2 linked regions of the Lytechinus pictus genome follow. The protein of the gene in region 1 interacts with the protein of each later gene in a pairwise test. Links are inferred from orthologs where the notes say so. Each region holds a gene or a part of one and is shown in the gene's direction. Other genes may lie near its edges. The genes, in order: survival motor neuron protein-like and ribonuclease P protein subunit p20-like.

The links.
Region 2: the proteins of survival motor neuron protein-like (region 1) and ribonuclease P protein subunit p20-like interact in binary tests that used the Drosophila melanogaster proteins (3 or more experiments, as listed by UniProt). The link is inferred for Lytechinus pictus from reciprocal best matches to the Drosophila melanogaster genes Smn and Rpp20.

The regions. Positions count from the first base shown.
Region 1 is NC_087249.1:19,884,653-19,898,214, reverse strand, and holds the start of survival motor neuron protein-like, read left to right. Parts: upstream 1-7,451; coding exon 7,452-7,493; intron 7,494-13,562. Other genes in the region: lamin-B1-like, read left to right, coding at 1-93, 603-830, 1,866-1,919, 2,862-2,891. UniProt on the Drosophila melanogaster protein: Core component of the survival motor neuron (SMN) complex that plays an essential role in spliceosomal small nuclear ribonucleoprotein (snRNP) assembly in the cytoplasm, is required for pre-mRNA splicing in the nucleus and acts as a chaperone that discriminates target and non-target RNAs of Sm proteins.
Region 2 is NC_087259.1:13,424,866-13,436,303, forward strand, and holds ribonuclease P protein subunit p20-like, read left to right. Parts: upstream 1-7,393; coding exon 7,394-7,843; downstream 7,844-11,438. Other genes in the region: ubiquitin-related modifier 1-like, read left to right, coding at 3,329-3,372, 5,100-5,170, 5,748-5,829, 6,453-6,501, 7,268-7,336. UniProt on the Drosophila melanogaster protein: Component of ribonuclease P, a protein complex that generates mature tRNA molecules by cleaving their 5'-ends. Also a component of RNase MRP complex, which cleaves pre-rRNA sequences.

The DNA.
Region 1 (13,562 bases):
ATCACCCAGAGCGCCACCAACAATGGTGTCGTGGCCATCGTAGAGAGCGACCCTGAAGGAAAATTTGTGAAGCTACAAAATAACTCTGAAACGGTAAGTCCTCAGGGATATGCAGTTTCTTATCGCTGGGTTCATTGGCATGCATACTCATTGTCTCTCATCCCCGTGTGAACTTGTAATCATAAGTCAGTAGAGTTTTATTCTTCTTTAGGATACACTTTTTCAAGTTTTTCAAATTTCGGGCAGGTTGACTGTCTGGTTTTATGACAGAAGACCGACAGTCAACCTGCCTAAAATGTCACGTCTTCTCATCTGTTCCTGCTCTTCATCTCCACTCGCCGATTCAAGCCAGTCTCCTAGTCAAGCCTTTCGTCTTGCCGTCTAATCAAGCTTTTCTACTCTTTCTGGTTTACAGTGCTTTTAAGGACTGCACTTATCTCTATCTACTTTCTCTTAGTCCTTGCCAGTATTTTACACATGGTTTACCATAAACCACTTCCACGTTTGTTCATACCACCTTCCAAACCTTCAAACATCTACTATTATCATTTCCATCTTAATCAACTATTGATTTATCCCCTTTTATTTCATTGCCTCTCCAGGACCAAGCATTGGGCGGCTGGCACTTGAAGCGCAGTGCCGACGGTGGCAGCGAACAATCCTACAAGTTCACCAGCAAGTACGTCCTGAAGGCCGGCCAGGAGGTGACTGTCTGGGCCTCCGGCAGTGGCAAGTCCCAAAGCGCACCCACAGACCTGGTCTTCAAGAACACAGAGTCTTGGGGCACCGGGGACAATGTGGAAACCACTCTGGTTGATGCTTCTGGGGAGGTAAGTGTTGCCAATTTGGAAAGTTCTGAAATGGCATGGAGACATACTCTGCACTTTTTCTCAGACCTCATGTGATATACTAAGGGAGTGTTGCAATAAACATTTGCAGTCAATCGCAAATTCACAAGTGATAAACCACTTTTGCTTAAAGGAAATTGGTTTATACTTGTTGTTTATGCAAGAAAAAACCAAATTTGCAATTAATTATGAGAATTGTGATTGATTTTGGCATCTAAAATGTACTTGAAATTGAATGTAAGATTCTTGTAATGTCCAGTAAGTGAAATAGTGATCAGACCGATCAAAACAAATCCTTTGGCAAAGCTTACTCAGCCTCTGGAAAGTGTTTTGCCAGGGAAAAGAGAGATAATGATTTAACCATAAGGCAATATCCAGTGGCATTAAATAATGTCTGCTGGTCATAATTCTTGTTCTACTCTGGATTATTTATATCTGAAGGGTATCAAATTCTCCATGAAAACACAATAATTGGCATTTAAAGACAAAGTTTTGGGAAAGATAGACATTGTGAGCTGTCTAATTCTGTCCATGATGTTTGGGTAGATTATCATGAAAAAATGATCCACTGCAAATGATTACTCTTCAGATGCTCCTACATTCAATGTATAACAAATCAGATCTGAAACTGTCGGGCCGACAATTGAGATGTAGTCCCACACATGCTAATCCGTGTGAGATCTTCAGGAAATTGGGCCAAATGATTCCTATATAGCACCTGAGCACACGTTCCAGTTGTGCGTAATGTCATGTGTAATTTTAATCTTATGAAACATTCACCAGTACCCTGTCCTCCAAAGAGTTGAAAGAGATGAAAATCAAACTCGAATATCGTTTGATTTGAAAATCTCCTAACCACACAAATATAGATCAATTGCAATTTTGAGATTGATTTGATTCTGTCACAACTCTTTGCAAGATGCGACACAGAAGTGATAATCATAAACAACAGATAATTTCAAACACCAGCTGTTATGGTCTCACTCCCTAATCATATATCTTATTGTTTTATTGCAGTTGATGGCAACTCGCACAGTGATAAAGGAAGTCACAACACATGAATACAGAGAGGTACGTGTGCTTTTCTTATCCTCAAATTTCTAGATTAATGATTGATTGAGGCACTGATCTCTATTCATGATGCAGCACCAAAAAATCAACAACAAGAAGTACCACTGTGATTTCAAGTAGAGCTCATTAACAGTGTTTCTTTACAAAAAAACCTACAAGGCCCAAAGCAGGGGTGTGGGGGGGGGGTGGATTCTGCATCCCTCTCCTTCCAACATGTTGCACAGTACGGCCATGCTGGGTCTAAGTAACATAGCTCTGTAAGGGTTAAGGTGGTTTGATTTCAGGTTGTATTCTATGAACGAGTATACTTTTTTCTGTGTACTGCAAACATTTGGGCACGCTAGTCATCCAAATGTGCCTTTTCGGACATGTATGAGACCGATTTCCCATCGTTTTAAAATTATGTGGTATAGTTTTCCTCTCATGAATTGCATTCATGCATTGATACTTGTCGATACCAATGAACAGGATGTGCCTAATTAGAATACCAACTTGGGGGGGGGGGGGGGGTAATTTGAAGACTCTTTCAATGCCATTGTATTATTTATAATCCCCCTTTTGTCACTTTTGCTTGGAAGGGTGTTAGTTGTTCTTTAGACTGGCACAAGTTAATCCCTTGATCTCAAGTTATACTTGAAAAGATGCAGAGAATCCTGTGTAATAATGCATGTGGGAATGCCTGTTTCTTCTAGAATTAGGTACGGTAAACCCATATGATGGTATTTATGTCTTTTCTTTATCATGTTGAAAATTCATGGAAATAGCCCTCGACCCACATGTACCATTTGTGTCCCCATCATGATAGTGACATGGCTTATATTTCTAATTCATAGATATGATTTCTAGATGTATTTTTGTCACCTTGTAAAATTAAGTAAAAGCAAAAAATGAAACATTTATCACAAAAATATAATATATGTTGTACTTTCTTTTTCGATACAGGGTCGAGAAGACAGATGCACCCTAATGTAACGTGTACTGATGAAACTTCGACAGCACTTTTTAATCACTGTAGAATTCAACATTACCACTCGTATCATTATAATCGTCACTTGCGAGGTTTTAACAGTAGTTTTGTACAAATTTTGTGTAGGTATTAAAAAGTTGCAGAGGATGTCCTAGTTTTGCACTTGGTCAACAATCAATCATGTTTAATCAACTAGTAGATGGAAACTTTTAACCAGCTGCTTTTTATACTTCTACTCGTAGCAGAGTGATCATGCCTTAGATGATTCGAATGTTATTTATCCAATGTTAATATTGTAGGAACAATCACAGATGGGTATTTTGGGGGAATTCTGTATAGACCTTACAGCTGAAATTTTATGAACTGTAAGTGTTGAAATGCAATGTATGTCAAAGTTTGTGTTGAAAATCATTAATCTTATATCAGGGGTACACATCCATAATATTGGATGCTCATGTAGCTCTCCGCATTATTACTCTCGTTTTAGCATGGCAGTGATTATGACGCTCATGCATTCCAAAGATAATAATGATAATAACATAGGGTATTTATATTGCGCACATATCCACCTTGTTAGGTGCTCAAGGCGCTCCTATATTACCCGGCTAAGCTAGGCGTTCATAGCGCACACATCTTTTTAAGGAATTACTTAACATTCATATAAAAACTAATGGATCGTTCTCATGCTTGTATCAAGACTTTTAGCATATGTTGTAGAAATCAAATGTCTTTGTGGTACCGATCAACACATGAAAGCTAATTGCAGTAAAAATATTCATGAGAACAATGACATTGTGATTTTACCTTCTTTCCCGTACCATGAAAATCATGAGGAGATAAACAATTTTTTTTTCTTGTCATGCTTAAGTCTTGTCTCAAGTCATTTAGTAGTTGGACTTTGGATTCAGGAAAAAAAGGCTGTATTGCTTGACTTAGATCCCTCACTTTTCAAAATATGATATAATCATGAAAATGCATAAATCTTCAATGATTATTAAATAAGAGAGACCATCTCCATATGTATCTTCAGTGGCATTGCATTCTAGACATCGTGGTTCCATAACGTAAAGCCTAGTGGCTGATTGTATGATTGATTTTTGTGATTAATGGTACATTGAATCAATGCAATCAGTAGTAAAAAACTGTGCTGTGATCAAACACCTTGCTTTGTAATATGGAATACTGGCATTATGTTCATGAAAATTGTTGTCATGTTCCAAATACTACAAACGTAATATCGACCCCAAATATTGTTCTTTATCAAAGGCTGAAATAGGCAGGTTTCTACATGTTTGTGTGTTTGGCATAGTATACTGACAATTTTACTGTACTAGTTCTTTGAAGTGAATTTGAGAGAGAAAAAAAAATTTGGTAACGCCATATTTGCAGACATGAATCATGAATGCTAAGACTTTGAATGAATTAACCATTTGCTATTTCTGAAGCCTTACCTACCAATTTGTGAATTTGTGTTGCGATAGAATATCTGTGTCATTTTTAATGCATAACCATACTGAAATTGCCTGCCGATTTAATTGAAAATCTGTAATTATTCTGCAAAAGATCTACTTAAAACTTGAAATATATGTACACCGCGGCAAAAGAGGAGTTTCTCCTTTTCCCTTGTTAGTCGGTAGTGTGGGGTTTTATTTCTGATTACACTTTCATAATGAATATCAAAATCATTTGAATGTGTATTGAAAGAAATTAAATATCAAACAGTGACATTTTGGAAACTGCAAGTTTTCACAGAGCATGGCTTCTTAAAAGAATGGGTATTTTAATCTTGTTGTTCTGGTGCATTGATCCAAAAATTTGGTTGCAGATTTAAGAAACAGGCTCATGTATTAACAGTGACTTGGACAACTCCAATACAAAACGAAAATGATCTTATCCTTCCTATTTTAAGGTTCAACACCCTCTTCCCTTTGAAGCTCATCAATTTTATTGTAAATTGTATATAGTTGTAGTGATTAATTCTCTTTTTAGTTGTTTTGATAATCAGCATCTTATTTATACACATTTCTTAACTAGTTGATATTACTTTGTTTTAAATCAGATTATCAGTGTTTGTCTACTTATATTTGTTAAGTTTAAAATTGTTGGAGAATGTAATCTATGGAACTTATTCTTTGATGCTTCTTGGGATAGCAGTATGAACATTATCAGAAACAACTAAATTCCAACTATGATAATCAAACTTTGTTCGTCATTGGTATATTTTTCATTGACATCTTCTGTTATGTAGGAGTATATTCATGTAAGTTGCTGTTTGAAATAATTATTCTTGGTCGTCATATTATGGAGAATATATTTTGATAATCAGTTAGATGTCTGGTTTTGTGACTAAAATACTTGTGCAAGATTTGTTAAAGAACTATGTGTATTCAGTGAATATTTTATTGCAGTATACTCCTTAACATTTCTTTGTTGGCATTAGTGGTGAGCACTTGAAAATTAAAGGAACAAAAAATGATCATCAAATTTGACACTTTACTATATTCCTAAAATATATGTTCTAATTAAAATTATGTATTTCACTTGCCTTTTTGACACAGTATGACTGGATATAGGGGTTAGACAGTAGGTTATCTGCTGTAAAACAGCTAAGTGCATAATGAAAATGCTATGAAAGTAGTCTATATATAGGTTTTCACTTTCAGTTTTTATATGTTTTCTTATGTAAATAGTAGCAGTTTTAAATTAGAAGTAACCATATGTAGTCTGATTATGTTATATTCTTGTTTTTAGTACTTTTTGTGTAAATATTAGTGAATGTGAGAGACATAAGTCAGGTTTTTTTTAGTCACTTAAATACCACTTATGATTGATATATTTGCTTCTAGTTATTGTCAGCTAGGTGCTTTTATAGATTTTTATGCATCTATGTGGAGAAAGAAAAAAAAATGCATGCAACCCAAGTACATAAGCATATGATAAGAAATAAGTTATGACAGCAATCATTTTAAAAGGCATCTGAAATGTTATGAAGTGAGCTTCTATTCTGGTTTGACTCTTAAGAAGGAAATCAACATTTGTGCGTTGAAAAAATCTCACTTTGTAGATGAAGCCATGTGTATCAGAATGGTTTGTCTTAATATTTCAGATGGCTCAAATCCTAAATTTGTCTTATTTGTTAATTGCACATGTGTGACGCAAACATTACCATATCCTTCACTTAAAGTGATCATCATGCACTGACTTTCTTTTCTTCTGAATAAAAATAAAAATATAACCCAGTTTGTAATTCCAGGATTTGTACATTTAATGTCAATTGTCTTAAATTGTTGGTAAACATTTGCTTCTTCATAAACTGTACTTGAGAACATACCACAATAACTTGACTGTCTCAGGTTTTAAGTGAAAATGTCAAATTTTTGTTTGAATAATATTTACCTGGAACTTTGTGGACTGAAATGCTTCTTGTCTTGCACCTCAAACTTGATTCATTGCTGTCGATTATCAGGGTTTGTCAAATTTTCAATAAAGAACCAGAACTGTAGTAATCAATTTCAAAGAATTATTTATTTTGTATGTTGATTGTATGAATTTACTCCCTTCATTTTACAAATTATAATTAACAGAAGTTGGGGATACAGCAAAGCACTGGATTATAAACTGGCTGATAAACACTTTGTGCTGATACCAATAGGAATTAATATGGCCTCTTTTCCAACTTTTTAAAAAAGTACATGTATGTCTAGCCACACTCTCACTATAAGACAAGTAATAACATGAATAAACATCAGTCATGTATAAAGCAAAATAAGAATTTGAAATAATCTTATAAATTTGACATGCAAAAAAAATTAATTACTTCATGGTATTTACACATCAGAAATTCTACCCCATCCAAAAGTGTCATCACACAGATACGCTCAGAGCATACTGATGGGGAGGGGCATTTGTCCCCCCCCCCCAAAAAAAAAAAAAAAGAATCCATGATGGAGAATATAAAAAAATCACTAGTACGGTACTAAGAAATGAAAGGGTAAAATGTGAAATTATATGAGGAATATCTTATACGAAACAATGTCTCGCAGTTGCCAACCTGATCAAGAACATTTCAGTATTTTGGTAAGAAAATTCGGCAACCATAGTTTCAAAGCAGACTCTTGGCGGCAAATATCTGCTTATTTGCTTAACAAAAAATGCCCTGGCTCTGAGCTTCACTGAACAGTGAAGAAAAATTCATGCAGTTTTGTTGTTGATAGATACCCAACTCCCACATACAATAAAATAAATACATAAATAGAAAAATAAATATTAATTAAGTAATGAATAAATATAGACCCTATATTTAGAATGGTCAGGGAGAGGAGTGGGGCGAGGGCCGGGCATGCGTTTAGTAAAATTTTGTAGGAAGTTGTAAACTTTCAGAGGAAATAAATGCAATTAAAAGTTGTTACAAGTTAGGAATAAATGGCATTCAACTTCTAAACATAAATAAAGTCGCACAGTATACAAACTGTACAAACGCTACTACGGTGTCCTTGAAACTCGCTGATTCCTATATATGAAGCTTGAAAACGAGGCGCGCGTGAAACGATCCGAGCGACATCATCATGGCTGAACGTTCTGGCGACGTGGTTTTCAGAGTTGATCAGGTAGGAAAGTCTGCTTGGATGTTTAGAAATAAAATAACACCTTTGGCTTTAAGAATGAATTTCTGATCATGCACATAAACTTATTTATTAGTGCAATTTGGTTTGCCGCGGTGTGTGTACTGGCTATGTTTCGGAAGTCAATGAAGTTGAAATCAAACTTATTTTAGCCCCACATATTGAAATATGGGTGGTGTTCAAAAAAAAATTTGAATCAAGTTTTTCAGTTTTCCTTACCCCTTTTTTCATACCCTTTTTTCTTCTCTTGGGACTTCCCCTTTGCTTTTCAAGGCCGAGTTTCATCTCCCATCATAAATTCACTCCGTATTTTCCTGAAAAGACCTCCCACTCCCCCCTATCTTTGCCTTTGGTAGGGAGTTCAGTGAAAATGCCACTTTCAAGTTTCAGAATTTGTATCTGTCTGTGCTTCCATGACATGACACTCTAGGCAACACCGCAATACTTACCCGTGTTAATAAACTGGGACTCCACTCACGCGCATTTGGGCCGCCCTAGCTTAGAACTAAAGTTTATTATCAAGAAATTGTTAAACTATACATGTATAGCCTATAGGGCCTACTGATAAAATATATTTCATTAAATAGCTTGATACTGTTTGATCGGTATGATTGATGGGGTGTCCAAATTTCGCGCACTTTTCAAAAATATTCATCAGGCTTAATTTTGTTCACAAAATATTCATAATTTATACAAAACCAATTCAAGAAATAGTTACCACATTGACGGCAAGATCGTGAACTATAAAATCATGGACGAAAATGTAAAGACTAAAGTAGGTCAAGGGGTTTCGCCGGTATCGCGATCTCAAAATTCTATTCCGATCGGCGAATGCGGGCTGTGCTGGAAAACCGTTCAGAAAAGTGTGACCTAACTTCGCGCACCAACGCTTTTGTGGAGATTTAAACAAAAACTCAAGTTCAAAAAGTGAAAAATTAAATCAGATTGATGGCAAAATGCTATGGAATCGGTTAGTACCACATTTAACTCACATTTTTGATGATTTCTGCTTGCAAAATGGTGATATCGTGATGCTTGTGATTTCTTCAAAACGGGCGCTAGCGGTGACAAATTTGCCGATCTTTTGCCAATATTTTCATGAATACTGAACTCATCCTAAAGAAATTTTCATTATACGGTAATTTTAGGTCGCTTTTCACGTTGATGATGTCAGATTTTAAGGATATTGGCTAGTTTTTTAGATAAGGACCGTCCGCGAAGTATGGACACGCGCGAAGTTTGGACACACTGCCATACTCACCGGTTCTTTTGTTGCATTTTCAGCCCAATTCTCACAATTCTTGGGAAATATTCGCGACAAATCTTGTCGCCATAGACAGCTACATGTCCATCTTTATTTATAAATAGAGCGCCCTTTACGATAGTTGTTAATGCCGCGGAGAAATCGTTAGGCATTTTGGCCTGTGTTCATGGCGTAGCTGTTCTATTTTTTTTTTTATACTATAGTATACTTTATAGGTATGAGATCGAAATCACAGCGAGTATTTACACTCTTCCATAATGATTCCGAAAGGGAGGCGCAACACCCCCCACCCACATGGGCGCAAATTCCAGGGGGACATGTCCCCCTCACCTAGAATAGTAGGGGGCACATTATGAAATGTCATCCCCCTAGGCCCTACTATTTTTGGTCTTTTCATTCAAAATCGAAATAAAATATGTATTTTGGAAGAGACGATCTTACTTTTGGGGTGCCCTTTTTTTTGCTTGTTTGCTTATCAAATTTCTTTTGGTCAAGATGACCTTCTTTTTGGGGTGATAAACCTTCTTTTTTGTTTTTGTTTGTTTGTTTTTTTCTTGTCAAATTTTCCAGCCCCTCGTCCCGGCTACCTTTGGGGAGAGATTTCCGCCCTTGCCTAACAGTACACTTGATATTGTTTGCGAATCTGCGTGGGCGTCGGGGGCTGGGGGATGAGGAAAAGCGGTGAGACGAGAAAAAAAAATAGAAGGAAAAAGGGGACAGAAAAAAAGTGAACGAAAGAAAAATTAATGGAAAATAAAAGGGAGGAGAAAATAGTGAGAAAAGTGATGGGTAGGTCGAGATTTTATGTGTCCGTGCAAAAAGAAATGAGCAGAGGTTGAGATGTTGTCTGTTTAGGCAAATGTCTGTCTGTTTGTTGGACTGGCGCCTGTTGCAAAAATTATTAAGCTGATGGAATCAGAAAGTTCCAACTGCTTCATGTCATACCGACAGTGACAGGATTAAGCGGTTGTAGGTATAAATCACGCTCTAAAACTGTGTTCTTTATTAAAAAGTTGTCCTTCATATTCATTTTCGCAAAAGAATATCAAGTTTTCAATTAATTGTCTATAGTTATCCTGTTTATGATAAAAATACTTAGAAATTGGGTTAGGTTTAGGGTTATCAAATTATCGGGGCAGAAAAAATATTTTTTCAGTTTGCGCGTCGATTTTTAATGACATTCATTCTATTCACAGCAATATATTATTAAACATAGCCGCATGAATTATAGATAGGTCTATAGTTATCAGGTGAATAATTTACCGCTACACACTGATCATGCGGATACTGTTTTGTAAAGGGGAATTTCACCTTGATAAAAAGATTGTGAAAATATAGGCCAAAGAAAAATAATTTCAAAACATCGGTGAAGGTGTTATTAAAAAAAAATGGAGTTAGTAGAATTTCGAATGCTTGATTTGTGACGTCATAAACGAGCAGTTGCTCAATATTCTATGTAATATAAAATGCAAAAATTTCCCATTTTTAATGGTCCGTAATGACCCACTTTTTTCTTTTTGGAGAGAGTATGAAGTTATCTATTGATATACTGAATGTACAATAAAAGTCATTATCACGTATTTCTTGACATTTCATTTACTTTTTACCATAATTATATCCGATATAGCTGCTCGCAAAGGCCTACGCCGTCACAAATAATTATTTAAAAAATCTCACCTTTAATTTTTTTTTGGTGGGGGATGGATTTTTCCTGAAAGCATACCAATTTTTCAAATTATTTTTTCTGCTATTTTCATAATTAACTTTAAATAAATTCACCTATGCACTACTTAATTTTTTCAAAGACAAAATAACAAAATTACATCTAGTCTTCATCATCACCATCATCACCAACTTCATTCTCATCATCATCACCACTACCACCATCATTATCATCATCATCATCATCATCATCATCATCACCGCCACCATCACCACCACCATCATCATCACCAAGATAATTTTCATCATCATCATCTTTCTTTTTTTTTCTTTTTTTCCCCCTTCCCTTCTTCTTTTTTTCCTTCCTATTTTCCTCCCTTTTTAGAGGGGCACACCACCGAATAAATATGTTTGTTGTTGTTGTATATAAGTTGGCGGATGCCTCATGAAATGAAATAAAAGAGAAAATAAGGAAATGGAAAAAGTAAGAAGAAGGATAAGAAGAAAAAAAGAAAGCCAAACAGACAAGACAAAATAATATCAAAATTTCGTAATAAAGTCAGTCAGTTTAATAATTATGTTTTCAATGAAATGAGACATAAAAGAACTGAAACAAGTAAAAAGGGCTACATCATAGTTAAAAGAAATAGAGGGAAGCTCCGAGACAATAAAAAGTGTTAAAAAAATCAGAAAAGACTTTGAAACACTCTGAACACGAGTATAATATAAAAAAAAATTTGGAATAAGCGAGGACAAGTAGCTGAGGGACCCCCCCCCCCTCTCTCTAGTTATTTACTCAAACTCGCATATACAAGAGAAGAAATTCTTACTAATCAAAATATTGCGAGCAAAAAGCATGAGCTTACATTTTTTTAAATATTCAAAACTGATAGAGAGACACATTTTGAACAATTCATGAAACATAATAATCATTCATTATAGCTACCAATCGGATTGCGACAAGATCTGAGAATTAGAAATTCATTAAAAGCATAAAATTGTATAACATTAAAATAAGACGGGCGCAACGCATGAGCTAAAGCTTTATATACCAATTAAAATTGTGGACATTTTTAGCGCTTTCGGTAGTCATGAAAAAGATTCATATTTCATGAAAGCTCAAATCCCGAGGAGGAATATTTTTTATTAATTGACTTAAAAAAGGCTGTTCTAATTAAGCCCCATTTAATATTTGATTACAAGTCTCGTTAAACAGTAAAAGAGGAAAAAATAAAGCATATTGTGTTCCTCAATTCTCTTTCTCTTTAACCCTATTTTTATTTTATTTATTTTTTTTTTGGGGGGGGGAGGTATTTTGGTTAAAAAAAAAGAGAAAAAACGATAATTGCTGGCTAGTGGGTGTATAGTGGTAGGGACACCCCGCCCCCACCCCCCGTAGTTACGCAAACATGGGACCAAATGATCCTACTTGTTCCAAGGCGAAACTTGTGCAATCAATTAAATGTTATTTTTGAGAAAATTAAAGCTTGCGCTGTTTAAATTCAATCTCTTTCACCTAAATTTGCGATGAATGCTAGCATTATGAAATATATAATTATCAACGTCTGGCGAAAAGAATAACCAACCGATCAGCTGACGAGAACGCGTATCACGTGATCTGCATATCAGCTTCGATCGCGAGTCAGAAGTGAAGAGCAACTGGCAATAAAATCTGGAAAAAGTCGTCAAAATGTAAGTTCCCCTTCATTTCTTTCAATTTTTTTTTATTGCTAACAATGCTTTAACTTTCTTAAACAAAAATTTAATGAACAGACAGTACGATAGCTCGTACTTATGTTATAATACACAAATAATCATCTTCACAAAGATTTCTGACACAAAATACTACAGATGTCGCCTATGAGGTCCATACATGTAATGTTTGGACCTCATTGGTACTAGGAGTGTGACATGACATGTATAAAACAAATACGAAGCCATTAAAGGAGGAGGAAAAACCCTATAGAAACCTATACCATGAGAAACTTTGAAGTTTTATGAATAAAATGATGTATAATTCAAGGGCATGCCTTGCCCCGCATAGCAGCGCATTGCACTTTGAAAAAAAGTATTACACAGTACCATTCATTGCATTTTGTGTAAGTTATGAAAATCTACTTTTTGCTGTAAAAAAAATCTGCACATTCTCCCGTTTAAACAGAAATATCTCTGTCAATATTTGACATCATGAGTTGATTTATGCACCATTCTTTTTCTTATTTCACAGGCTTTCCAATGGTACCAAATTTGTTGGGATTTCTTCAAGATTTCAAAAAGCAACTGTCTCCCCCACTCAAACGAGCCTTTAATATTTTTTTTGACAGAACAAAATCTGCATATTTTCCCCTGTAAATTGGAATATCTCCATCAATATATCAGACAATGAGTTGAATGAAGCACCATTATTTTTCTTATTTCACAAGCTTTCCAATGTCAAATTTGTTGGGATTCTTCTAGATTTCAAAAAGTCACCGAACTCCCTACCTACATGTATGGCTATGCCGTAGCAGCTAAGTTAGGGTGACGAGATTTCACAAAATGAAATACGGGACAATTGCAAGAGGGATCGAACGAGCCAGGCCTTAATAAAACGATCAACAAAGAAGGCTACACAGTGTTAGACTTGTGAAAAAAAATATAAAGAATTGGAAGAGAGGGTGAACGAAAGAATGAAGGAGCGAAAAAAAGAGATGAATTGAGAAGAAAGAAGAAAATTAAGGGGAAAATGCAGAAGGAAAAAATAAAGAAAGAATAAAAGGATGAAAGAAATAAAGGAGAGAAAAAAGGTTTCCATCATTCTTTGAAATAAATATAGAAAGAAAGGAAGGGAAGATGGATAAATATGTGAAAGAAAAATAAAGGAGAGAAAGGAAAAAAAGTAAGAAAAAAGGAGGAGGAAAGAAAAATGTTTCCTTCATTCTTTTAAAGAAAGAAGAAACACAGGAAGGAAGCAAAAGAAAGAATTAAAATAAGGGGAAAAATTAGAAGGAAAAATGAAAGAGTGGGAGGAAAGAATTATGAAGGGCGGAGAGAATGAAACAAAAAGAAAATAATGGAAGGAGAAAAGAACGAAAAGGAGAGGAAGGGAGAAGGAAGCAAAGAAAATATTAAGGAAAGAAAGAATGAAG
Region 2 (11,438 bases), on another chromosome or scaffold:
ATATCTAATGCACTAAATCGGTTGTCAATCCAATTTTTTTGTTCTTGGAGGAAAAAATTTGAATAAACCTAATTTCATATAATAAAATACAGAAGAACAAGTGGGGATACGACATCATCAATTTGCTCAATGAATATTCATGAAGACATGCCTAGAACTGTTTCACTGGAAAATGCAAAACTTTAACATGTCATAACTTAGTTATTCCTTGTCCGATTTTGATCAAATATGCCAATAATACATTTCGGGATACACGAGCGACCAACTCACGTTTGGTGGCGTATCTCTTTTCAGTATAATGGACATTATCAAATCCTCTAATGAGCAATCTCATTTCATCTTTTAAAAGACATGGTTTCTTTAAAAAAAAATCGCGAATACCAGTTAACGGGGAAAATGCTCTTCAATCAAAAGTATTTGCATATACATTTCAGAAAACTTTGGCGGCAATTACGGGTTTTGTTGACGAGTTGTCCCAAGTCCTGACCCCTATAATTAATTTTATAGCAAAGTCCCCCAGGAACATCATGCATTTAAAAAAAGTATCAAGTTACAGTATCATCTTAAAAGGCAAAAAAGTGTGAACAAAAACTGTGAACTTTTAAATTACGATGGGCTGTAAAAATGCAAAAATACGGATAACTGTAGAAAAAATTCTAATCCCACAATTTTAACATGAAAATCGCCGTTAATTTAGAAATACGAACACTATTTAAACGATAGATGCACTGCAATCAACGTAAAAAAAAACGATCACTGCATAAATACGTTTTGTTTGTTAAATCATTGTGTCGTCTGTTTTTTAAAAGGCAAATATCCTGTAAATTTACGCTTTTTCTTTGTAAAATTACTAATATTTTTAACAGTGTGGAAGATTCTAAGAAATGAATTAGTTGATGTTCACCATTTTTTTCTTGGTCGGTCACATAATTATTCACGAACACATCGATTAGCTTGACTTACCCTTTTGAAAGTGTAACAATATTATTAATATAACTTTAGATCATTCAATGACTGTTGTGATTCCTGACTATGGTTGATTTCTGAATCCTTGCATAGTATTTTTTTTTCATAAGTTTGACTGAGGTAAAAATAAAATAAAATAAAACGTTTGTGGTAGAGATTTTCTATATTTCATCTTAGAAATATGAATGTGTGATCATCTAAATTGGCCTTGCTTCGTGTCCGAAATAATCTTGCGTACATCCCACCCTATCTTCTATGTGTTCATAATTTTACATTGCATCTTTGTTTTCTTCAATTCACTCATTATGTTATTGATGCATTTTATTGTTCACAGGACCCAAAATGGTTCTGTATTTAATCATCTGGGTCTTTTAACTCTCTCTCTCTCTTTCTTTCTTTCGTGAGGTTCACATTATTCAAGCTGTATATGCTTTTGAGTGAATCTCCCATTTCCACAGATGCCCCCTTTTTATTATGTAATATAAATTGTCTACAGAATATAAGATTATGTATCATTAATTTTATGTCGTTGGATATGATGTATACATGACACTGATTCGAACTGTAAACTTTTTTGTATAAATGTATGAAAATATTTTGTATTATACTTTATGTTCTGTTTGAAATAAAACTGAATTTGAAATTTGACAAATTGAAATGTAATAATTCTTATAACAAAATGTAGGTTGATCGAATAAGACAGTTCCTGCACCATTCGAATGACTACGCGAATACGGCGATTTTCCCCATATCCTTAATAATTACATCAATGCACATCCTTTGACATTATATATTTGATAGTGTTTTTCTCGATGAGAAAATAAATGAATTAATCTTGGAATTTCACTTGTTCACGCGCCGAACCACTCAGCCTGGTTTGATGGACACTGTTTGATTGATTTGAATAACGCCCCCTATTGGTCATGGGTATCTCATCATCACCATCAAATCCCGAATCTGTTTATTCCCCCTTATAATTTTGATGTCAATTCAAATTACTGTATAACAGTGGGGGGGGGTGGGTTCATTTGAAAAGGGATATTGAATTACATGTACCTTATTTTTTGTTTTATATGTAAATAAAGAAGACCAGAAATGGTTTAAAGATATAAAAAAATCCCGAATTTGATGGGCCTCATCCACAGAGGAGCTTATTTTATCCACCTGTATATGGTCAGATCCTGCATTAACATGTAAAGACCCCGTTAATTACTGGTTGAAATGTCCTATTTCTCATGTTGCTCACTAATTATGTTGTTTTTTATTATTAATCGTGAGTGCTTGGGGGGAATCTTTACTAACTCTCTCTTGCCATGTCCCTTTTCTCTTTTTTCTACTATCTTGATTTAACTGGTTATGCTCACCCACAAAGAAAAGACGATTTCTCAAGTCTTGTTAAGTAAAACAAAATGGAAAAAAATACGATATAAAGACACCACAACAACTATGGAAAGCCAGCAACGTCAAAATCTGAAATGCATGGGTTTTTTCCAAAATATTTTCTAGATATGAATTCATATATTTATCATTTTCTTGAAATTCAGTGAGCTTCTCTTCTTTACAGTTTATATACCTATTATATATAATTCCTGCAGGAAAAAATATGACATTGATGGATCTCCATACAGTTGATATTAAAAATTTTAATCGGATCAATCGCAATTCTTTGTAAGACGGGCCCAGTTGTCCTATTTTAATCCTCACGCACTGGGGAGGACTGGGGAGGGGGTGTCACATAATATTTGTGTACAACTTTCGGCCAAAAGTGGGGCCTACCCACGGCTACCCACTTGATACGGTAAATTTGAACTATTGTCTTATCAAAGGATATGTGATGACAGTTCTCTTCATAATTGATTTAGGCCCACACATTTAAAGGCGCGGCTAAGAATATTTTTGTGTTACATCACCTTACTCTATAACCCAATTCGCCTACGAAAAATACCCATGATGAATCCTTTCTTGTTTTTTGAATTGGCAGAGACCTTGCTGCACAAATTGTATTCAAGTTGCTGAAATTAAGTGATGCTACTCAAACTAACTTACAATATAAACATAACACGAAAAATTAAATTGCTGCTAAGTAAAATGACATAAGGATTTCAGACAAACGTCTTGGTCAGATTCAGAATGTTCCTAAAATTACTTTTCCATTCTGTTTTTTTTAATGAGATTTTGAAATAAATGGAAATATCTGCCTTAGTAATAGTATATTACACAAGAAAAGGGTTTTTAAAAGTGAGTATGAAAAACAAGTTCACATCCCGGGGACAGTGCTTGATTTACAGTGTAGTGTGAAAAAAGAGAGATTGTCTAGATCTAGACTTTGCAGTATTATAGCTACCGTACCTGTAAATTAAATATGGCAGCGCCCACTGGTGAAATTCACGTGAAGCTTGAATTCAGGTAATATCACTAATTTTAAGGCAAAATATTTAAACAATGGTTGTGATTATGTTTTTTATTTTATTTCCGGTTTATTTGGAATCATATCGGCGTGTAAATCGAGTGGAAATGTGTATATATTTGCCTATTTGAAATTTGAACACGGTTTCCGTTCTATCGGCATCGCATCGCCATCGGACCGGTGCCCCGGTGGCGGTGCCCGGTGGCGGTACCGTACGGTACGTAGCCGTGGGGTTACGGCAGATCTCCGGTAGACTATATTCATGACTACCTCGAGCGAAGTTCGTGCAGGCTCCACTCCACTTCTCACTACCGCTAGGCGCTACACTACACTCCACCTACCCGAATTTCGGGTAGGCATGGTTGATGGTAGACCAAAAGCTTCGGTCTCTGTTATGTTGGTTGTTCAGCTGAACTCCGTTGGAACTCCGTTGGCTTCACTCACCAAATACAGAGACCGAAGTTCTAGCGCGATCTGTACAGGGGACTCAATGGCCATATGTTTATGTACTTAAGATCGGATAAAACGGGGAAGTGAATTTGCGCGACAGCCGAGGTAAGTCACTGTTTTTGTTCCTTTTAACTCGATTTTTCTCCGTTTCTTGGCAATTAATGCCAAGAGGGAATATCAATTTGCATTTTGGTCGCATTAATTTTCAAAATTTTTATTGATTAAAGACAAAAATTGAAGAGCCCCGACGGGGGGATTTTGCATTGCAAGTCCCCTAATGGTGGCTGCACGCTAGCGAGCTGTCTGTGTATGAGGAGAACTTAAAAAAAAAATGTTAAAAAACTCCTCAAAACAGACGGCTGCCAGCTGTCTAGGTTGATGGTAGGTGGAGTGTAGTGTAGCGGTAGTGGAGTGGAGTGGAGCCTGCACGAACTTCGCTCGAGGTATATTCATGACATTACTTTAGTTAGTATTTAGTATTAGTAATATATAGTAGTTGACTTCTGCAATTTCTGAACGGCCGATTTACCAGAGTCCAGACTCATTGACTCAACTTCTGGCTTCTGCAGTGATACCTGCCGATCTCCGAACAGCGGGAGAACTGAAACAAGGGAGGGAGAGAGGTCTGCGTTATGCGTCACGCCGCGCCTCTGCCCGGGCGAAGTGTCGTTTTTCATTTATTAATTTATATTATTAGAGTCCTCTAGAGTCTGCGGCGACCGCTGCCAATCTCGATCTGGATGCTTACGATGCAGGACCCACTAGCCAGGAGGTCTAGACCCAGAGAGTAAAAATCATTCGCTAACGTGTGCTTACTCTCCACAGAGCCAGGGATTGCGCCCCATCTATTTACGTGTACTGGGAAAAAAACTGAAATTTTCGCCCCCAAGATTTCTACTTTCCTTCTAAAAGATCTAGCCCTAATGGGATACAACTTTATTTCCGACATTTATACGATATTGATTTCATTTTTAAACAAAATTTCATTAAAAAAAATTATAAAAAGACAGGGAAAACTTGCCGCGATGTTTACGTCGCCATCTTGTTCTTTTTGTTCTTCGCCAAGCTACGAGACGCATATCAGGTGATATCTCTCTTATTTTTTAAGAAATTTTCAGTGTTAATTTTTCTTTTCTTATCTTTTATCATAACAAATGGACCTTAGGGTTGGTTTCCCTTTTATTTCAAAATCTACGTGTACATGTAGATCTAGACCTACATATATTGATTATTTTTTTGTATATTGATTATTTTTTTAATGATATCATCCTTACAGTGGTGGAGCAGAGTTATTATTTGACAAGATCAAGCATCATGATGCTGTTTTGAACTGCAGTCACAACAAATGTAAGTTCTGTTAGAATATAAGAATAAATTTTAGAATATTTGCTCCTACTACAACATATTTAAATCTAGCAATGGCAGATCATAGAGCTAATAGCTCTATGGGCAGATCTAGGGGGGGGGGGCACAGCTGGCCCGCCCCCCCACCCCTTTTGAGAGCCATAATCCAAATTTTTAATGTAAACATGCCGTTTTTACCCAAGTGTGTTCCCCCCCCCTTCTTTTTGTCACATTTTCATCAGGAAAGTGCCCTCCCCCCTATTGGAAAACCTTGGATCCGCTCCTGAACTTCATTTTGGTATAGTTTTTTTTTAAATTTATTTTGGGGGATTCATTGTCAATAAATGTCTTTTCTTATACTTGAAAATGGTTGAAGACAGAACATACTGATTTTTATTAAATTGGTATTATACATGTATGTTCCCTTTTGCTTAAGGAAAAAAAAATTATTCTTCATGTTGTCAAATTAGTGTGATTACTTTATTCATAATTGATTTAGGTTACTTATTTCAGGACACACTTTATTTTAAAGATAAAATGGAGAACTATTTTGTTCTAATTTTCTTATTTCTTTTCAAAGGGACAATCAAGACATTGCTGGTTTGGATCAAAGATAACCTTCTGAAAGAGAGACCAGAGTTATTCATCCAAGGAGACACGGTGTAAGCATTTCAATTTTTTTCTATCAACACAAAAAAAAGAAAAGGAGTATAAAACAGATGGACAGGTCTTTTCTTGAGTGTTGTAATATGTGAATTCAAAAAATGTTTACAGTGTATCTTACTTGTAGGTCAGGTGTGTGTTTCATAAAGCTGTTTGTAAGTTAAGAGCAACTTTAAGAACGACTGGTTAACATTTCTTATGCACTAAATAATCACAAAATGGTGAATATCACCACAAGAAAGGATCACCAGTCGTCACTCTTAACCTACTAACAGCTTTATGAAACGGCCCCCTGGTCTGTTTTCAAGTTTACCTTCATTTTAACTTTTGAGACATATTTTTCATTTGTTATGTATCATTTTTGCATAAAGTAAACATGGAAGTGTTCATTTTCTTCAGTCAAACAAGGTTTTTGTATAGTTGGCTATTGAATGTTATAAAGGTAAATATTTTTGTCTGCAGAGTAAATTTCATGCAGCATACTTTGCCGGTAGATGTGGGTTGGGGTATGAAAGCTAGCATTTCTTAACAGGGTTATGTTGATATTGTGTTTCATGTTTTGATTGACAACTGCCTATTCTAATAGTGAAATCTGTAATTTTGTATCATTTCTTTTGAACAGGAGACCTGGTATTCTGGTCCTTGTAAATGATGCTGATTGGGAATTAGTGGTAAGACATTGCTAGACATAGTTGATGATTATGAAATGAATTCTAGATTTACTTCTCACCTAATGATGTCATTCAAACATACATTTTATTCTTTATTATTGATCAGCTTTGAAAACAAGCATGATTTGGTATGTTAATTGGAAGCTGTGTGTGTTTTTCTTTTTAAATACATAATGCCTATAAATAGATGATTTATCACTCATACTTAAAAGGGAACTTACAGTCTTACTGCATTTGGGACAACACATTTTTTTGCAGACTTATTTTACCACCTTTTACTTTTTTGAAAATTGGAAACCTAAGAGTGTGCATTATTTTAGGAAAGTAGTGTTAATTTGTTTATGAAGTGTTATCCTTTCCAAATTTCATAGATTGCACAAACAAAGAAGACACAAAAGACACAATCTTCTTAAAATGAAGCAAAGTATGTGCCTTAGGAAAATCTATGTCAAACCTCTTAAGAGTGTTTGATGTTGATTATTTCTTGTGTACTGCAGTGGTAAGTGATACATTGCGATTTGTAAGTTTATTTTTATCAATAGATATAGTTCTGTTTTGATATTCACAGTACTGTACTGTGTTAACAGGGTCTGTTTTGCTCATGCCATCAACTTAGATTTGATATTTAGAACAGTAATGTATAGAGATATTGCATCATGTAGAAAAGAGAAAAATAAATATGTTATCTAAAATGTCCATAAATCTGATAACCATTTACATTTATCCTTTCTTCTAAGCTGTTATTTTTACCATCCCTTTTATCCAGGGTGAATTAGAGTACGAGATACAAAATAAGGACAAGATTATCTTCATATCAACCCTTCACGGTGGATGAGCTGCCTTTGACAGTTTCACTCGGGAAAATAAAATTGAAAGTTTAACTCAAAATAAGATGGCCTCGGGCGATGCACAGCCGGCTACCCCCCAAGCCCGCCCTCACAAGTCGGCCAAACCGAAGGTCAATCCAGCGGCGGTGAGTATCCGGAAGCGTCAGCCCCGCAGACTTCCGAAGCGCAAGAATGACATCTACGTGACTCGCAAGTCTAACTTTGCCAGCCAGATGGAAAAGTGTGAGAAACTCTTTGACGGGGGAGAGAAAGAGGTGTTCATTCATGGTCTTGGTGCAGCTATCAACAGAGCACTAAACATTGCTCTTCAGTTGGAGTCCCGAAGTCTTGGCACACTCCAGATATCCATCAGCACTTCCACTGTCAACCTGGTGGACGACATCGAACCACTCTGCGATGAAGGGGACTTTGATACGAGGGAGAGAAGCAACTCTGCTGTCCATATTAGAGTGTTTAGGACTGAAAGCAAGAAAATGGATGGGCCAAATAAGTGATGTGACTTATAACCATGGCCAAGGTCTTTTTTGAGAAAGGATGCAGACATTCCGTGGTGATGATAAAGTTGTATGATGAACTAATCTTTTCTCTCCTTTCTCTGGTTTTAGAATTTAAGTTTGTAGCAGTGTCAGTTGACTCACCTTTGGTTTTCACTGAAACGTACATCAGAGCATATTAGATGATGATTTGATCTCATGGGAATTAAAACAGTTAATGGAGGAATAAACCTTTTATTCTTCAAAAATATGAATGTTGGTTTATGGTTATTCCACATGAGAGAAACAATCACCTCATTTTGTGTTTGAAGGAAAACAATTAAACTGAAAGTACAGAATACTCAAACTCTTGGATGAAAAGAAGCATATAAGAAATAATGCCATTATAATTCATGCAATTTTGATTGCAATAGATATTTTGTTTTGTGAAAATTGCTTAAGTTTCTGGTAATTATGTTACCATGGTTAAATCTATGATAGATCACATATTTGCAAGAAAAACAAATTTGCATTCTCTTAAAGTATTGATTATGGAATTATGATTTATGGTAACAGAAAATATTTTTGAGACCTATTTACAATTAAACAAGAGTCATTATTAGGGGCAGTTAGTTTCCATTTGAACAAAAAACAGCCTATTCTATTTCTGAAAACCTGCAATTCCATTTCAACCTTGAAAGAAAATGTAGACGGCAAAAAACTTGAATTCAATTTTGTGAAGGTAAATTCAGTGAATTTTGCATGAAAATTAAATAACTAAAACTAGTTTTCCACTTTTATTTTAATACTGGCAGACAGAAAATCGATGTCTCTAAATTATGTAAATGGGATCAAGTAGTTTTTGCCACACCATGTTTGATATGTGTACATGATTTGTAAAGCTCTCATTAGCTCAAGAGTTCATGCAAAGATTATGACAAAGTTGCAATGAGTTAACCTGTTGACTTTTGTGATTCACATAATCTTTGTATAAGGATTTCAGGATCTTTTAGCACTTGCTTCTAACTTGCAATAGTAAAAGATAAAACAAAACACACAAAACGAAAGCAGTGTAGTTTAGCCATTTTTGTACAGGTACATGTACTTGATTTGAAAATAAAATGAAGTCAAATTTGTTTTTAAAAAAATCATGGGATTATTGGAATAACAAATGCATTTATGTAACTTGATGCTAAAGTGATAGATGATAGGTGGCCCAGTGGATTAGTCTCCAGACTTTGAAACAGAGAGTCATGGGTTGAATCCTAGCCATGTCATACTTTCTTTCAGCAAGAAATTGATCCACAGTGCGCTGCACTCGACCCATGTGAGGTGAATGGGTACCCGGTAAGATAAATTCCTTGAACGCACTGAGCACCTTTAGCAGCTGGAGCTAAATATGGATAGTGCGCCATCAGCTCCTCATAAATGCTATACATTTTTATTATTATAGAAATAAATAACAATACAAAAAAAGAAATGAAACATAACTGTAATAACCATAAGACGTTCAAATCTGAACTAAATAATTATCTTTTTCCCGGTATTGTGTGAATGATATCTGACATATTGTTAGAGTAAAACACCTTTGTCTTGTCACATATAAATGCCACTATAAAACTGTTGTACATAAACATCAGTGTATATTTTCTCTCTTGACATTTTCCCTGTTAGCCATAGGCTACCCAATAGACTCTGGATGAGCCCAAAGACATATCAATATAAAGCTGTTTAATACGTAATAACAAGTGAAGTATTATGGCCCTTCGTCACCCGGCTTATAATATACACCACCTGTGAATATAATTCATACATCAATGTGCACAGGTTAGGAGTGATTCTGTTAACCCTAGTTGTGTGCACTATATAACTCACCGCCTCATTGGTCAGATCATTCTCGAGAATGCGTGTTATTGGTCAATCTACCAATCAAGTTGTGCTTTTAATACTGTATGCATTTTACCACAGGTCTGTGGATAATTGAAAGTAAAATTTTTTCCCATTTCAAATACAGCCCATCAGGAATATATAGCAAAATTAGTTTGTATCTTAGTGTTGATTCTGAGTTTAAAAAAAGGAGAGTTTTTTTATGTCTCCATTCAATTTAACTTTTGTTTTTCATGTTTTTTATCATGATATTATATATTCAGTTTCTTTTTGTTATATGAATCAAATATGATAATGACGAGTTCAACTCTCACATTAGTTTCTAATAAATATTTGGGATATTATTGAAAAAAATATTTCCGCTTTCTACAATCTACAAATATATTTAGTTGGATAAAATTAGTACTTTATCAGAGCTAGTTCAAATGTATGGAAAATGATTGCAGGAAATGTGTAGAATCAGGTCATTAAGCTTGTCTGGCAAGAGATGTTGCTTTCGGTGAATTTGATTATGGTAGATATGATGATGTCATTGCCTCCAACTTGTAAAGTATAGGTAATAGATGGGATTAGAGGAATGGAAAGTCAGAGAGAGAGAGAGAGTGAAAGAGAGGGAGGGGAGAGAGAGCAAGGCTTAGATAAAGTTTTGTGTGAGTTTGGGAAGCACTGAAAGACATTGATAGTTTGAGTCTTTTTTGTTAAGAATAAAATTTTGGTTTCAGATGTCTAAAGAGAGATGGGTGGAAGGGGGGGGGGGGGGGCAGGGTGGGCAAGTGAATTTCTAAATAGTTAGAAAATACTTGCCTGCAAATATATTTAACTTGCCCCAAAAATAATTCAAAACAATGTTTTACCGCTTCAAAAGAAAGTATTGTGGTATATACTATTGTCTTTTTTCCTTTTTTTTTACATGAACTGATGTACCTTGTAATATTGTATTTTTTCTAAGTGATTTTATCTTGACTTTCATGACCAAAATTAGTGTCAATATGCCATTAGATCAATTTCCTCTTATAGATTTTCTTGTACTTTTGTATATGACCATGGCACGGTAAAAAGGGGAATCACTGAAAATAATTAAAGAAAGAAAGAGAGAAAGAAATAGGGAAAAAAGAAAGAAAAGGAAAGGAAGGGAGGATGAACGAATGGGTGAAAGAAAGAATGGAGGAGAGAAAGAAAAAAGAAGAAAAAATGAAAAGAAAGAGAGAAAACAGGATGGAAGAAAAAATGAAGGAAAGAAAAGGTTTCATTCATTATTTGAAATAAAGAAAATGAAAGGAAGGGAGGATGAATGAATGGATGAAAGAATGAAGGAGGGAAAAAATGAATTGAATTGAATTGAATTGAATTGAATTGAATTTATTCAAACCAGTCAAAGGAGATCAAAATACAAACAAAATAAATGGTTACATTATAAAGAACTAAAACAAATGACAGGTTTGGGACCCCAAAGAAGCACAGCTTGTAATCAGGGGCCCCTGCATAATATATTTTACTCAAACATGGAATAACTATGAGAATAAGAAGAAAAAAAAATACAAGGTATTTAAAGATCACAACAGGAACATTACCCACACGCAAGCATACACACACTCACACAGACAAACACACACATTCACACTCCAAACATGTCACCCCCAGGTGCAACTAACAACTGGTCTTAAATTTATCAAGTAGGTATTTATGACATAATTTCTTAAACCGAGACAGGGTACAGCTACTTCTTATA